Canis lupus familiaris: one gene and its partners. The protein of the gene in region 3 interacts with the protein of the main gene of each other region in a pairwise test. Links are inferred from orthologs where the notes say so. Each region holds a gene or a part of one and is shown on either strand. Other genes may lie near its edges.

Region 1 (3,288 bases), on a different chromosome or scaffold from region 3:
CAAGGGAAGTACCCAAAGGTCGAAAGAGCGGGGAAGACTTGGCAGGGGAGGTCCTCTCCAGACAAGGTAGGCTGCTGGACAGCGCAGCCACACAGAGAAACAATGAGAAAACAGACAGGGGCTCTACTTAGGACTGCAGACAACACTTGTTCATCGAGAACAGGGGTAGGTTCAGGAAAACTGGCAAGTGGCCAATTGTCCCCAGCGGCCCTGGTGAAATCAGGTCACTTCTGTCCCAGAGAGGGCAGAGCTGGTGGAGCTGTTCTTCAGGGCGGCCCAGCCTCTCTCCGCCTCACCTCACTCGGCCAGAGCCAAGTTTGTGGACTGCAGCCGCTCTGTCTCCTGGCAGATGTTCTGCTCCACAGTGTCACACTCAGCCAGGAATGCCTAAAACGTGAATGCAGGGCAGTGAGGGACCATCCAGGACTAGCCATTCCCTGCCCATACAAGGCTCTTGCTCAGCCATTATGGGGAACCCCTGGGTGAATGATTTAAAACAGGCTATAGAGGAATGGAGCCAGCCTGGGCTCCCAGATAAGGGGAGGGAGGCAGAGGCCAGTGTAGGAGCAGGGTTTCTGACAACAATCCTCCAGAGGGGTGGTGAGGACAGGAAGCCTTGCCACTGTACTGCACAATTTCAGGGAACATGAATAGTGCCTCCTGAAATTGTGTCATATGGCAGCTATAACTGCTCTCCAACAATCTTCCTCCCCAATTAATTTAAATTCAAATACAATTACAGGGACATGAAAGGAGCTCTTCTCTTAGATTCTGGACTCATGAAATAACAACCAAAAAATGTCCATACCACACATCACACTTTTGCCCTACCCTACTCTGAACAGATAAACACACACATTAAACTTTGAATGCTTGATCACACAGCTCACCTGAACCCTTTTCACCAAACCCTTCCTTTTCAGTCTACTGTCTTTGAAATTTTCCGGCAGAATCTGTGGAAGAATAAATTGACACATAAATAATCTCAGTAAGAATGACATAACAACATGATGAAATACCCACAGTACACCAAATGCATCATAAGTCACCAACATGAACGAGACTTGCATTTTCAGGAATGATTTCCTCCCTTGATCTGTATTCCACATGGCCCTTCCCATGGCTCTCACCCCTATAAAAGCTCCCTTTGCTCTCAGTGTCTGGGCCATGGAAACTGATCTGTACCATGGACTTTGTCCTTTCTCTCCTTTCTATGTACAGATACTACGTCCTGGCCATGCCATGAGCTCACTGTGCTTATTCTTTACAACCTCCCTCACTCCCCGAGAATCCTATGCAGAGTAATTCACCCTCAAAAATGAGGCATCTAGCTGGAAATATCATTACCATCTTTTCTGTAAAAGGGATCATGGAGTTGATGATTCCCAATAGTCTCACAAGAGACTGAGTCTGGCTGAATTCTTTACAGATAATGAACCCAATGGAATCACCAGTCATATGAGTATCATGAAGCCCTCTGTTTCTCTGGCCATAAAATCACAGTCCATTTGGGTTCCAACTTTGTGAGGATTAGATGCTTTTAGGAAATATAAAAATGACAAAAGCCCTACGTTGGTGGATGTGACTGCTTAAAAATCAGGAACTATCTTGTCTTTCTGTGTATCTACCAAGGACTGAGCAGTGTCTCGCACACAGCAGGTGCTCAATATCCTCAGACAGTAAGAGTGCTTTACTGAAAGAGTGAAACTCACTGAAAAAGAGTCAAAGGAGGGCAGCCCAGGTGGCTCAGCAGCTTAGCGCTGCCTTTGGCCCAGGGTGTGATCCTGGAGACCCGGGATGGGGTCCCGCATCGGGTTCCCTGCATGGAGCCTGCTTCTCCCTCTGCCTGTGTCTCTGCCTCTCTCTCTCTCTCTGTGTCTCTCATGAATAAATAAATAAAATCTAAAAAAAAAAAAAAAAAAAAAAAAAAGAGTCAAAGGAAACTAGTTCTTCTCAGCTGAATATTTACTTACCAGTGTGTCAATCTCTTCCAAGATCTTCATAAATTGCTCGATTGTGGCTTTTACTCTCTTATCAAGTTTGCAGAGAGCTTCAGCTTGCAAATCCTTGGCCAGAAAACCCTGTACAGGAATAATGCATTCTTGCAAGGGTTCCTTGAGGCTGACAGAAAACTTCATGCCAAGGCACTGATGAAGTAGCCACACACTGAGCCCACATTCCCCCCAATAGGCTAGTCCAGACCTCAAACCCAGAATTTCATCTCTTGGAAAAAACAGAGCCACCCAAAGCACTGTAATAGGCTGCAGGCCACTATCTCACACGGCCCACTGGGGCTGCTAATGCCTCCTGAGCCCTGGCTCCGATGAAGCCTTCAGTCACCAGTGTATACCCACATAGAAGCAGATGTTAAGAACATAAGGTGTAGGGATGCCCGAGTGGCTCAGTCCATTAAGCATCTGCCTTCAACTCAGGTCATGATCCAGGGGTCCTGGGATCGAGCCCTGCCTCAGGCTCTCTGCTGAGTGGGTAGCCTGCTTCTCCCTCTGCCTGTCAATTCCCCTGCTTGTGCTCTCTTTTTCTCTCAGTCAAATAAGTAGATAAAATCTTTAAGCCACAAAACAAAACAAAATACAAGGTGTAGAGTCTGATAGGCCCAGGCTTGAATTCTGTCATTTACTGGCTTGTGATCTTGTACAAGTTACTCAACCTCTCTGAGCCTTAATGTCCTCATTTTTATTTATTTTTTATTTTTTAATTTTTTTAAAAGATTTTATTTATTTATTTATGAGAGACACACACAGAGAGAGGCAGAGACACAGGCAGGGGGAGAAGCAGGCTCCATGCAGGGAGCCCAACGTGGGACTCGATCCCAGGTCTCCAGGATCACACCCCAGGCTGAAGGGAGCACTAAACCGCTGAGCCATTGGGGCTGCCCAATATCCTCATTTTTAAAATGGAGATTATGATACCCACACCAGATTATGATACTAGGAGGATAAAGAGAAATATATATAGACTCTTAACATAATTCCTGACACAGACATGTGTTAACAAACAGCAACATTGGGGTGCCTGGGTGGCTCAGTCACTTAGGTGTCTGCCTTCAGCTCAGGTCATGATCTCAGAGTCCTGGGATGGAGCCCTGTATCAGGCTCCCTGCTCACTGGGGATTCTCTTTCTCCCTCTGCCCCCTGCCCCTGCTTGTGTGCTTGTGTACACGCACACTTCTCTTTCTCAAATAAATAAAATCTTAAAAAAAAAAGCCACATTTACATTGTTTTTATTAAATTATCTTGCTATGTAGTCACATTGCTTGGCCTAGTGACC
Region 2 (4,174 bases), on a different chromosome or scaffold from region 3:
GCACAGAGATGGGTACCTCCGCGCTCAATTCGGAAAAAAGGAGGAGAACGGGCCTGCAGAACTGAGTTACCTAAAGCTGTTGCGTTAGGCGGTGTCGCAGGTGCCACGGCTGCGTGTCTCATTACAGACTCAGAAACGCAGGGAGGGCAAAGCGCTAACCACGTTCTCCTTGCCTGGCTAGATCTCAGGCTGAAAATCACCAGGTTCCTTTTTTTCCCCCCTAATCCTTTATAATTTCCTCTAATGCTTTAGTCAAGCTTAAGACCATGAGCCTTCGGGGAGCAAAGGCCCATCTGCTCAGTCAGGAATTTGCCAAACCAAAAGATCAATCTGGCTTTTACCGTAACTTAGCATTTAGAGGACCCCAAATACTTCCCAACTGTATTAGCCAAAAATAACCTTGTGTTACTGTGACCCATGGCTCCAGAGGAGAGGTGTCAGGGGTAGTCTTTGAAACAAACAACAACGGGGCCACCACCGATGAAAAGAAGAAATAAATATAAAATATAAAATAACAGGTATGTTTCCATAGGGTGCGCTTGCGTATGTCCGGCATAGGATGGTTGGATCAGGGAGGACAGACGGCTTCCCTAGAAGCTATACGGAAAGCATCATAATCGGCTTATTTGGGGAGGAAAAACATTTTAAGAATGCCTTTTTTCCCAAAGATTTTATTTCTTTTTATTATAAGACATATAGGTAAAAACTCGCATATTCTGAAAAAGATAGAAAATGGTAATAAAATGGACATTTTTCCTATTAAGAAATATGTTCATAAATATGCTTTATCAAATGTTAAAATGATTATTATTTTGCAAAATAACAATAAATAGAGCAGAGCTGTGGCATACAAGGGTCAACCCGAAGCACTGGAAGTATTCGCCTTTCGTGTTTTATAAAAACTCAGACTTTTGATCATATTTCAAAATTTGGCATTTCGCACTCCGGGTTATCAACAATTCAGATTTGAAAAATATATTCATGATGGCCCCAAGACTTTAAAAACCATGAAACATGAGAGGCGGTTCGACTACGTAGAATGTGATTTAAATAATTTTGCCCCAAACAAAACACTGTAAGACACAGAAGCGAAGATAGGATTTTTGATCCCGTAAGCGGTATCGGTATCAGTTCCAATGCTATAAATTTCTGGATCCCCAACTGTGGGCATTGCACAAAAATCCTTTGCTAAGCTTTAGTTTCCAGCAAGGTCCATCATTTCTTTTCACAGCTTGATGGAGCAATAATAGTCACGATTATGAGGAGCCCGGTTCTACAAGCCTAGCTCCATGAGTATACGGTACAGAGAGATTCATTTTCCCGCCCGCGGATTAATCCTTTGACGGCTTTCCTATATTTGTTTATGGCCCCCTGGCCTCAGCTTCCTCTCCTGGAACACCGGGACAAATTTTAATAATGAAAAGTCCTCGTTCTGAGCGTTCTGGTGCAGGCTTCCTTCCATCCTCTACTATCCGGAGGAGAGAGGAAACACGTGTGAACACCGAACACACCCTCTCAGGAGTCTCGGGTGTTCCAGTAGCAAGGTCAGGCTTTTCCTGCAAATAAATACTGATTTTTACAAAGACCTGTGGTCTGCCATGCCCTTGGCTGCCCGTGAGGCTAACACGTGAATTCCCAGCTACAGTGGGGGAAGCCGCACGTAATAGTACCGAAGGATGCAATCTAATATAGATTATCGGTCCCGATGGCGCTCAACGATGTCCGTCAGGGGACATCTGGGTGACCCCGGGGGCCTAGAGCACAGAGAGGTCATGGCAGGACTTGGACTTGAGCTTGAAGGCCATATTCTTGTTGTTTTTGGCCACGATCTTGCCCCAGAAGCGCCTGGCCTTCCTGGGGATGCTCTCCCGCCTCTTCTGGTAGGCCAGCCGCCGCTCGTTCTTCTCCTTGCTGTCCCGCCGCAGGCGCACCTGCCGCACGATGCCCTCGAACAGCTCCTTCACGTTGTGCTGGACGGCCGCCGACGTCTCGATGAACTTGCAGTCGAACACCACGGCGCACGCTCTGCCCTCTGCGGGGGAAGGAGGGCGGGACAGTCAGAGCCGCTCGGCGCCACCGGGCCGCAGGCCACGGCGACGCGGGTCCCCCAGGGGTGCACGGGCGGGGTGGCGGGGAGCTTCCTGGAAGCAGGGGAGCCGGGATGGGCACCTGGCCCGCCTCAGGCTCCCGGGAGGAGGGCCCCTCCAGCAGAGACGTGACCTTAACTCCAACGGGAAAACCACAGCCTGCAGTTACGGCGCTGCCCGAGCCGCCGGGCTGAACACTGCACGAACCGTATGCCCAGGTTCAAAACAACCCCGAAAACTCCATTCTCCCTTTCAGACAGATGAAGAAACTGGGGTGAGGGGGATCTCTTAAAAACATGAGGGATGGGCGCCTGGGTGGCCCAGCGGTGGAGCACCTGCCTTTGGCTCGGGAGGTGACCCCGGGGTCCTGGGATCAAGTCCCATCTCGGGCTCCCTGCAGGGAGCCTGCTCTCCCTCTGCCTGTGTCTCTGCCTCTATCTGTGCCGCTCATGAATAAATAAATAAAATATTAAAAAATAAAAAATAAAACATGAGGGACGGATGCCCAGGTGGCTCAGCGGTTGAGCGTCTGCCTGCCTTTGGCTCAGGGTGTGATCCCCAGGTCCTGGGATCGAGTCCCGCATCAGGCTCCCCGCCTGCTTCTCCCTCTGCCTGTGTCTCTGCCTTTCATGACTAAATAAATACAATCTCCAAAAATCAATCAATCAAAATGCGAGGGAGTTCCCACAGCCTGTTAAGTCTGAATCCAGACCTGCTTCGTCCTCAAGCTCAGATTCGGAACTCTTTCACCTGACTCAGTTTCCTGAATTGAACAAGAATCCTACTTTTTGCCTTTTCTCTCTCAAAAAACAATTTTAAAGCTTCAATGAGGTACTTCGAAAAACTTTCGATGATTTCACCAATGTACGACACGGTCACCAGCAAACCGCATGGACCGGCTTTTCCGGAAGAGCCTCAATTTTGAACACTCGGTCGTGTTCCCTGACCTTGTATCCACGTTTTGGTTAGAAAAAAAATGACTGCTGTAGACAGTCGTCCCCTAAGAGTGAGACATCCCCAAGCTAGCTGTATATGGTACGTCCTTATCAGATTTCGTTTCTCCTGAGTGGGGCCCGACAATGCAGTATTTAATTTTTTTACCATCGTACCAGGAACCAGATCTGTATTAGGCCAATAACATCTCAAGGGACCCAAGGAAAGAGGCGATATCCCTGAACTATGGATGGAAATGTCTGTGTGACCCCATCAGGTTGGTGCCTTCATGGAAATCTAGGAAGGAAAAGGTAGGGGACAGGAAGGAGGGTGTTCCCGGGGCCCCAGGAACCAGAGGCAACCAGAGTAGAATTCTTATTCTCACTGAAACTCTCACAGTTGCCCCCAATCAGAGTTCCCATCTTACGTTTCTTTCCCTGAACTCCAAAGAGTTCCCTAGAGAAAAGGACAAGGAGAAAAGGTTGGGGAGTGCTAGTAAATCCCCCCCTTCCCCTGAGCCGAGCATGCTCTTTTCCCTAACGGAATTCCAGGGCGGGGACAGGGGAATGCGGCACATGGGCCAGAAGGACGAGGGCGCAGCCATCGGCACAGAGAGGATCTGCGGGGAACGCTGGAGCCTCCCCCACGACGCTCCACGGGGCATTTCCCTGGCTCCGGCTTCATGAAAGAAGAGAAAAGGGCACCCATCTGGAGGAAAGCCAGGCGACCCCGAGACTGTGCCCCGGTCCTGGCGCCGCTCCGCTTACCTGACACAGACACTTCCCGGCACCGAACCAGGTCACTTTTGTTGCCCACCAAAATTATAGGGATGTCCTCTGCCTGCCGGGCCCTGCGGAGCTGGATCCGCAGCTCAGATGCCTTCTCGAAGCTGGCTCGGTCCGTGATGGAGTAGACAATCAGGTAGGCGTCCCCGACTTGCATGCAGTGGTCCTGGAGCCATTCGTTCTCCCCCTGGTACAACGAGAAGACCCTCCCTGAGCTCGGGTTGGCCTGGCGAGTGAGGTGTCCTTCGCAGAGAAACAATACGCGCCTCCTAAAGTTGTTACCGTCCACTCCTCCCACATACAGCTTGGGTTGGTGAATTATTAATACGACGACTTGGCCAAACCACATCTCCAATTTCTATCTAACCG
Region 3 (4,097 bases):
AAAGGTAAACATTTTTACTTGCAATTTTGAGAAACACATACACATAAAACTAAAAATTCATGTCTTCTGTTTTCCAGACATGAAAAATAATTTACAAGGTCAATATTAGACAATATTCTAATGTCTTTTGAAAGATAAAGATATAGCACATGAAAGAACTACAAACATTTTAGAAAACAGTGCTCCCCACAACTCTGTGGTCAACTAATATTCAACAAAGCAGGAGAGAATAGCCAATGGAAAAAACACAGTCCCTTCAACGAATGGTGTTGGGAAAACTGGACAGCCATATACAGAAGAATGAAACTGGACCGTTTTCTTACACCATCCACAAAATTAAATTCAAAATGGATTAAAGACCTAAATGTGAGACAGGAATCTATCAAAATCCTAGAAGAGAACGGAAGCAACCTCTGGGATCTCAACCACAGCAAATTCTTACTAGACACATCTCCAGGGGCAAGGGAAACAAAAGCAAAAATGAACCTTTGGGACTTCATCAAGATAAAAAAGCTTCTGCACAGCAAAGGAAACAGTCAACAAAACTAAAAGGCAACCTACAGAATAGGAGAAGGTATTTGCAAATGACACATAGATAAAGGGCTAGTATCCAAAATCTATAAAGAACTTACCAAAATCAATACCCCTAAAATAAAAAAATCCAGTTAAGAAGTGGTGGAAGACAGGAACAGACATTTCTCAAAAGAAGATATATATATAAAGAGTAAACAGTCACATGAAAAACTGTTCAACATCACTCAGCATCAGAGAAATACAGATCAAAGCCATAATGAAATGCCACCTCACATCAGTTAGAATGGCTAAAAGTAACAACTCAGAAAATAACAGATGTTGGGGAGGATGCAGAGAAAGGAAAACCCTTTGCTTTGAGGGTAGGAATGCAAACCAATGCAGCCACTCTGGAAAACAGTATGAAGCTTCCTCGAAAAGTTAAAAAAAAACAGAACTACTCTACAACTCAGCAATTACACTACTAGGTATTTATCCAAAGGATACAAAAATAGTGATTCAAAGGGGCACATGCACCCCAATGTTTGTAGCAGCACTATCCACAATAGCCAAAATATACAAAGAGTCCAAAAGTCCATTAACAGATGAACAGATAAATATGTATATATAGATACAATGGAATATTACTCAGCCATAAAAAGAATGAAATTTGCAAAATTGTGGATGGAACCAGAGGGTATTATGCTAAGCAAAATAAATCAGTCACACAAAGACAAATGATTTCACTCATGTGTGGAATCTAACAAACAAAAAAAGATGAACATAGGGGAAGGGAAGGAAAAAGACATTAAGATAAAAACAGAGAAGGAGGCAAACCATTAAGAGATGCTTAACTACAGGAACAACCTGAGGGTTGCTGGAGGGAAGGTGGATTAGGGAATGGGGTAAATGGGTGATAAACATTAAGGAGGGCACATGATATACGAGCACTGGGTGTTACAGGCAACTGATGAATCACTAAATTTAACCCTGAAACTAATCCTATACTACACGTTAACTAACTTGAATTTAAATAAACTCTTTAAAGAAAAAAAAAAAAAGTGTTCCAGTCTGAAATTCACTTCAGTGAATCACTTTACATAAAGAAATCATGACCTAATAAAAAAGAGGTAGAAATCAATGACTTTTTTTCCTTGATACTGAACCTGTGGTTTTAAAGTTGATCACCAAAATCACTAACTGTTATTTACTACAACTATTCTTATATCTAGTACAATATATGAGCTATGGCGACAATCCTCCAAGCATTAAAAATGTATTTTAAGGGGCGCCTGGCTGGCTCAGTCTAGAGCATGCAACTCTTGATCTCAGGGTCATGAGTTCAAGCCCCACATTGGGCATGGAGCGTACTAAATTTAAAAAATAAAAATAAATAAAAATAAAAATGTATTTTAACCTGTGTTAATGAGCTTCATTCTAATATTTACTGGACGATCAGCCTGTTGGATAAAGAGAGTATACTTACACACAATTTAAACTTTTCATGAAGATATTTAATAGTAATAATTCCCTCAGGAGCTACTGCTATTTTTAATGCATTTGGCCTCTACATTAAATGGCCTTTTTCAAGGAGTTCCTCTTTCTTTGTGCTGTACTATTTACTGTTGATTCACTTTTGCATCCTTGGTTTAATGTAGCTTACACCTTCTTCTTACCATTCCATAACCTTCTTACTCTTTGACTTTATCCTTGGGTAGAACTGAATTATAATAAGGAGATAAGTTTATATATAAAACATACTTTGGGTATAGTATTTTCAGAGAATTGCTATTTAGCTGGAAATATTGCTGCCTACAAACCTGTAATATAATGAAAAGTTATGTTTCTGGAATCCTATCTGCTGGAGCAAGTGAGGTAAGATTGTGCTTTTAATGCAAAGATTTTAAATTAAAAGAAAAAATTCATACTCATAATAAATATTTCACATGTTCTATCAGTACCTCTCCAGATATTCCAATGGCTTCTTCTGCAGCTCCACATTGACCAATATGTCCATTCTGCAGTCGTTCCAAAAGCTCCAATAAAGCAAAATTTTTTTTCAATCCCCAAACACCTGAATCTCCTAGAATATAAAAATAACTAAATCTAACAAAATGGACTATTAATAATTTTACCTTTACTATACCTCAATAGTAATTTGTCTTATATTTTAATCATTAATATCTAAATTTTCAAAATTCAAATTTCCTCATTATCTTTTTATGTTAGAACTATTGTCTTGCTAAAATTCTCTTTAAAAAACAGTTCCTTAGCATTGCGAGTAGAAACATACTTAAAGTTCTACTATTTTTCTATCATTTAACTCTATAAATCCTATCATTGATTTTTACTACATATATTAAACCAAAGGCTTTAAAATATTTTTTATATCAACTTTCAGTAAGAAACATATTTTCAATTACAACACAGAATAGCATACGTTTATTTATATATATATATCAATACTTTTTTTAAATATGTGTATATATACATCTGAAACAAGAGTTTCACACACCAATATTCACCCTTACAGTGTGCAACACACCCACATTTTTGTTCTATTTCTTCTTTTAAAAATCATGCTCACAGCCAATTAAACTGATTTTATAACTACAAATAAGCTATGATTCATGTCTGAAAACCACTGTAAGAAACATACACTTAACCTAAAATAACTCCTTAGTAAAATGGAACTCAAACAGCTAAACATAATCTTTTTTCCCCACCTCTCATTTAAACTAGAATCTGCAGCACTCAATGACTATAAAAACTCTTTTTCACACAAATAAAACAAACAATTTTATTTATTTTTTTTAATTTTTTTTTTTTTTATTTATTTATGATAGTCACAGAGAGAGAAAGAGAGGCAGAGACACAGGCAGAGAGAGAAGCAGGCTCCATGCACCGGGAGCCTGACGTGGGAATCGATCCCGGGTCTCCAGGATCGCGCCCTGTGCCAAAGGCAGGCGCCAAACCGCTGCGCCACCCAGGGATCCCTACAATTTTAAAACTTAAATACATACAATGTATTTTCCTACCTAGATCTGTTACTTGTCGATCAAAAGGGCAACGGATTGCTCTTCCATGAAGAGGCAGGCGGGTAAGACAGTCATGACAGACTGTGTGGCCACAAAGCAGAAGGCGAGGAACTTTATCTCCTTGCAAAGAAAAGACATCTTCACAAACTCCACACTCCAGCACCTAGTGTTTGGAAAGGAAACGTGCTCTTTGAATGATTTTTTTTTAATATTTTACTTATTTATTCATGAGAGACAGCGAGAGAGAGAGAGAGAGAGAGAGAGAGGCAGAGACACAGGCAGAGGGAGAAGCAGGCTCCGTGCAGGGAGCCCGACGTGGGACTCGATACTGGGTCTCCAGGATCAAGCCCTGTGCTGAAGGCGGCGCTAAACCACCAGGGCTGCCCTCTTTGAATGATTTTAAAAGCACACATTCTTCAGGCCAAAAATACTCAATCTAATACACTAAATCGATCTTGTTACATTATTCCTCCATGAAAAAAACAGTCTCGGTCATAAAATGTTAAATCACCTTTTATCATTTTATCTGACAGACCCTGCAAAAATTAC
Region 4 (4,330 bases), on a different chromosome or scaffold from region 3:
TTTTATTATTTTTTAAAGAGTTTATTTATTTATTCATGAGAGACAGAGAGAGAGGCAGAGACACAGGCAGAGGGAGAAGCAGGCTCCATGCAGGGAGCCTGACATGGGACTCGATCCTGGGTCTCTGGGATCAGGCCCTGGGCTGAAGGCAGGGGCTAAACCGCTGAGCCACCCAGGGATTCCCCAGTGTTTACACTTTTAAACGCCCACCCTTCTAAGAACCTTGCACACCTTGGCTTGTGGGCAACAGGAGCTATGAAAGATGTTTTCAGTATTAAACAGAAACCTCTGGCCCAGGTACCTTCGGTGACTTCATTTCCCATTCTCAGCTTCTCTTCTTGCTCTTTTTGTTTGTGGCAAACTATGCTCAGAGACTGAGATTGTATTTACCAATAATTTATTTAACACATGTTCACTCAGGGAATTAAAATTTATATTTCACAAGCCAATAGCATACAGGACCTCTTTATACGGCAATTAGGAAATAACATACTTCAAACCAGTGACAGGTTAATTATGCAATTGTTCTAGGCAAAGGGGAGATGAAAGAAAGTCCAAATTTAGTTGAGGTGTACCTTTCCACGCTGGGTAGAGTCAGCCCTTTCAACTAAAAGCTGGATATCAGAGCACCGGCACTGCAGGGCACCAGTGTTGGCAGGAATGTGGGCTGCTTCGAAGGGATCACTAAACCAATCATGCCACTGCCTCGGAATGCCAAGGCCGGCACAGATGCCCCTTCTCCAAGACTGCTGTGTGGTCACCACTGCTGACCAAAAGTAGCATCACTAGGGCGGGAGGAAGGGTGTCAAGGTCTTCAGGAACTATATTTAGATCAAGAAAGAGTGGCTCTGCCCAGACTGAACACTCTCGAGTTGTTGACCAAACCTCTTAGAAGTCTGTCACATGGACGCACTGCTGTTACTCCGGTGTCAGTGACATAATAGTCCTCTCCACTCCAGGTGGGACAGTTCATTAAGAAAGTCCTAATACCAGCAATGTCCACAATAGCCAAACTGTGGAAGGAGCCTTGGTGTCCATGGAAAGATGAATGGATAAAGAAGATGTGGTCTATGTATACGATGGAATATTCCTCAGCCATTAGAAACGACAAATACCCACCATTTGCTTCAACGTGGATGGAACTGGAGGGTATTTGCTGAGTGAAGTAAGTCAATCGGAGAAGGACAAACATTATATGGTCTCATTCATTTGGGGAATATAAAAAATAGTGAAAGGGAATAAAGGGGAAAGGAGAGAAAATGAGTGGGAAATATCAGGGAGACAACATGAGAGACTCCTAACTCTGGGAAACGAACAAGGGGTAGTGGAAGGGAGGTGGGCGGGCACTGACGGGGGCACTTGATGGGATGAGCACTGGGTGTTATGCTGTATGTTGGCAAATTGAACACCAAAAAAAAAAAAAAAAAAGTCCTAATACCCAACTTCAAAACAAAGTTCAAACCACACAGAACCTGCCCCAACCTCCTTCCCCTTCGGGTCCCACCTCAGGCCTGGACCTCACCTCCACTGTAACAGTGCCCGTAGGTCCTGCCCAAGTGCTCACAGACGGGCCAATTCAGCAAGTCCCCGATGCTTCACACTGCCCGGGGACCCGCCTACCGGTTAACACTGGCCTTACCGAGCCCGCCCTCAAATTTGGGTCCAGCAGGTCTGACAGACTCGGGCTTAGGACTTCTATCAAGCGGCCGCCTCATTTACAGAGCACAACTAGCAGGAAAGCTGCACAGGAAGTCCACCGTGGTCGCCTAACTCTATGGTCGAGGCCACGGAGTCCAGCCGGCGCAAAACGAGCTGCCCCGGCGTTCGTAAAGGGCACGGCCCGAGGAGCCCCCGTACACGCCACAGCCAGACCGCGCCCCCGCCTCCCGCGCTGCGCGGCGGAGGACGCGAGCGGGAACCAGGCATGCGCGGACTCCTCCGTCCCCTGCCAGAGTCACGTGAGTGGGGCGGGCTCGAGGCCTGAGAGGAAGCGGAAGTCGCGCTTCTCTCCGGAGCTTGCTCCCGGAAGTGCTGCTGTTTGTAGCGGGCGTGATGGCTTCAAGGTTACTTCGCGGAGTTGGAGCGCTGGCCGCGCAGGCCCTCAGGGCTCGCGGTCCCAATGGAGTCGCCGCGGTGCGCTCAATGGCGTCTGGAGGTACTCGGCCTGCCCGGCGCGTCAGGGAACCGTGCCGTTGCCTTCCCGGGGTGGTGCCTGGGCAGCGAAGCGGGGCGGGCCGTTCAGCGTCTCGGGGCCCCAGTGACCGCTCGGGGGCCCCGAGTGACTCCGCCTCCGTGGGGGTCTCCCAGTTATCCTGGTCCCCTGTGCTGCCCCTCACCGAACTGCCCCCGGTTGCGATAAATCTTAAACCGAGGTGCCAGGTGACCTTGGGGCACAGGGGTTGCAACCGGGATGTGGAGAGGCCAAGCTGCCCTTCAGACCCGCGCTCACCTCAAGTGCGATGAACCCTACTAGGACTCTGACTTGCTTTTAGGGAAAATGTGCAGAAATACTGGCCTCCGTGATTGAAGGAAGAAAAGATTACCCGGGGCTGCCGCTTTGGGGTATCAGGACCGTGGTCCTTAGGAGACAATGTGTATGAGTAGCCTTTAGGAGTTTGTAAACTGTATGTAAACATTTATGTATATGCATTTGTCGTCCTGATAATTCAGACAATATCAAAATTCACGTATTTTCCTTTAGGTGGTGTTCCTACTGATGACGAGCAGGCGACAGGGCTGGAGAGGGAGGTCATGATGGCCGCACGGAAGGGACTGGTGAGAAACTCCTTTTTGTGTCTTCTCTGGGGTTCATGATCTTGGATGGGATCAGAGCAGGTTCCTCTCTGGGAGCATCTGAGATAGGAAACCTGACTTGTGGGAACAGTACCACTAGCCTCTGGAGGCTACGGGTCATTTGGCATAATGGCTTAATTCTTTTTCAGGACCCATACAATATTCTAGCCCCAAAGGCAGCTGCAGGCACCAAAGAAGACCCTAATTTAGTCCCATCTATCACCAACAAGCGAATAGTGGGCTGCATCTGTAAGTACCTCACCACTCTTGTCCATTTGTTTAATATATACAGGACGTCAGTAAGAGGTTTCAAATCTTTTGAGTGCATGGTGTGTTCGTGTAAAGGGGATGTGTGTGTAAATGAGTTATTGTAAGGGTCCCCTGGCCCTTTCAAGCTTCATTAACCCTTCATTAGTATCAGCTCATTGGAGATGCAGCATGAGAGAGTTGATCCAGAAAATATTTGTTGTATTTCCTTCCTCTTTGCCAGACACTGTTTTAGGCACTAGGGATACATACTAGAAAGGACTGTGCTTTGGGATTCTACATAGGCAGAGGAACTGTTAGAACTTAATGGTGACTTTGATGTAAGGTTAGTTTACTCATAGATAACTCGGGGCCTCATTTCATCTGAAAAGTGGGGAAGGAGAGAGCTTGAATTGATCTCTTCAGGTGTCAACCATAACTGTGTCTTAGAGGTGTCTGAGGATGAGGTTAATATTGAAAGTCTCCACTTCAGGTTGGATGGCCTTCAACCACCTTTTCCCTTTCAGGTGAAGAGGACAATAGTACCGTCATCTGGTTTTGGCTGCACAAAGGCGAGGCCCAGCGATGCCCTAGCTGTGGAACCCATTACAAGCTGGTGCCCCACCAGTTGGCCCACTGAGCCTTTGCACTAATTTACTCAAAATGTGCTGTGAAGTTTCTTCTTTCCAATAAAGACTAGCCATTGCATTGGCTCCTTCTCCCATAGTTGGCTGGTCTTGTTTCTATCCTGTGTCTTTTGTGAGGCCTGGATTTTTACATTGGGAATAGCTATCTGTTAATATTAGCTTGCTATCCATGTGTTTGTGTACGCCAAGATTGACAATCCCATAGTACAGTGATTGAGACCATCTGCTATGGAGAAAGCATGGGCTATGGCATCAGACTGACTCGACTTTTAATAATGGCTCCATCATTTAGTTTTGTCACTGGAACATGTACTCTGCGGATAGGTTATATCTTTTAAAAAAAATAAATATTTTGTGAGGCATTAGAAATAATATATAAAGAGCCTGGCAGTTGGTTCACAGTAATGTTATAAAAATAGGGTGACCTTGTGACCAGAGTTTTGGGGGTTTTGAAGTTTTGGGGTTCAAAGCATAGTTCATGGAGATACCATTATCAAAATCCAGAATATGAGGCAATTCCAGAAATCAATGACCAGTTTCTTCAAATAAATTGCAATGAGGAGGGACACCTTGCTGGCTCAGACAGTAGAGCATGCCACTCTTGAACTGAGGGTCATGAGTTCAAGCTCCACATTGAGTGTGGA

The links.
Region 1: the proteins of TRIM23 (region 3) and BAG1 interact in binary tests that used the Homo sapiens proteins (3 or more experiments, as listed by UniProt). The two-hybrid records come from large-scale screens. The link is inferred for Canis lupus familiaris from reciprocal best matches to the Homo sapiens genes TRIM23 and BAG1.
Region 2: the proteins of TRIM23 (region 3) and GEM interact in binary tests that used the Homo sapiens proteins (3 or more experiments, as listed by UniProt). The two-hybrid records come from large-scale screens. The link is inferred for Canis lupus familiaris from reciprocal best matches to the Homo sapiens genes TRIM23 and GEM.
Region 4: the proteins of TRIM23 (region 3) and COX5B interact in binary tests that used the Homo sapiens proteins (3 or more experiments, as listed by UniProt). The two-hybrid records come from large-scale screens. The link is inferred for Canis lupus familiaris from reciprocal best matches to the Homo sapiens genes TRIM23 and COX5B.

Annotation. Positions count from the first base shown.
Region 1 is NC_049232.1:50,587,385-50,590,672, forward strand, and holds part of BAG1 (BAG family molecular chaperone regulator 1), read right to left. Parts: intron 2,082-3,288; coding exon 1,974-2,081; intron 954-1,973; coding exon 891-953; intron 388-890; coding exon 298-387; 3' UTR 1-297. UniProt on the Homo sapiens protein: Co-chaperone for HSP70 and HSC70 chaperone proteins. Acts as a nucleotide-exchange factor (NEF) promoting the release of ADP from the HSP70 and HSC70 proteins thereby triggering client/substrate protein release.
Region 2 is NC_049250.1:39,678,291-39,682,464, forward strand, and holds the end of GEM (GTP-binding protein GEM), read right to left. Parts: intron 3,993-4,174; coding exon 3,788-3,992; intron 2,033-3,787; coding exon 1,755-2,032; 3' UTR 652-1,754; downstream 1-651. UniProt on the Homo sapiens protein: Could be a regulatory protein, possibly participating in receptor-mediated signal transduction at the plasma membrane. Has guanine nucleotide-binding activity but undetectable intrinsic GTPase activity.
Region 3 is NC_049223.1:50,582,682-50,586,778, forward strand, and holds part of TRIM23 (E3 ubiquitin-protein ligase TRIM23), read right to left. Parts: intron 3,712-4,097; coding exon 3,549-3,711; intron 2,594-3,548; coding exon 2,472-2,593; intron 1-2,471.
Region 4 is NC_049231.1:46,036,453-46,040,782, reverse strand, and holds the end of COX5B (cytochrome c oxidase subunit 5B), read left to right. Parts: intron 1-2,701; coding exon 2,702-2,775; intron 2,776-2,942; coding exon 2,943-3,042; intron 3,043-3,566; coding exon 3,567-3,679; downstream 3,680-4,330. UniProt on the Homo sapiens protein: Component of the cytochrome c oxidase, the last enzyme in the mitochondrial electron transport chain which drives oxidative phosphorylation.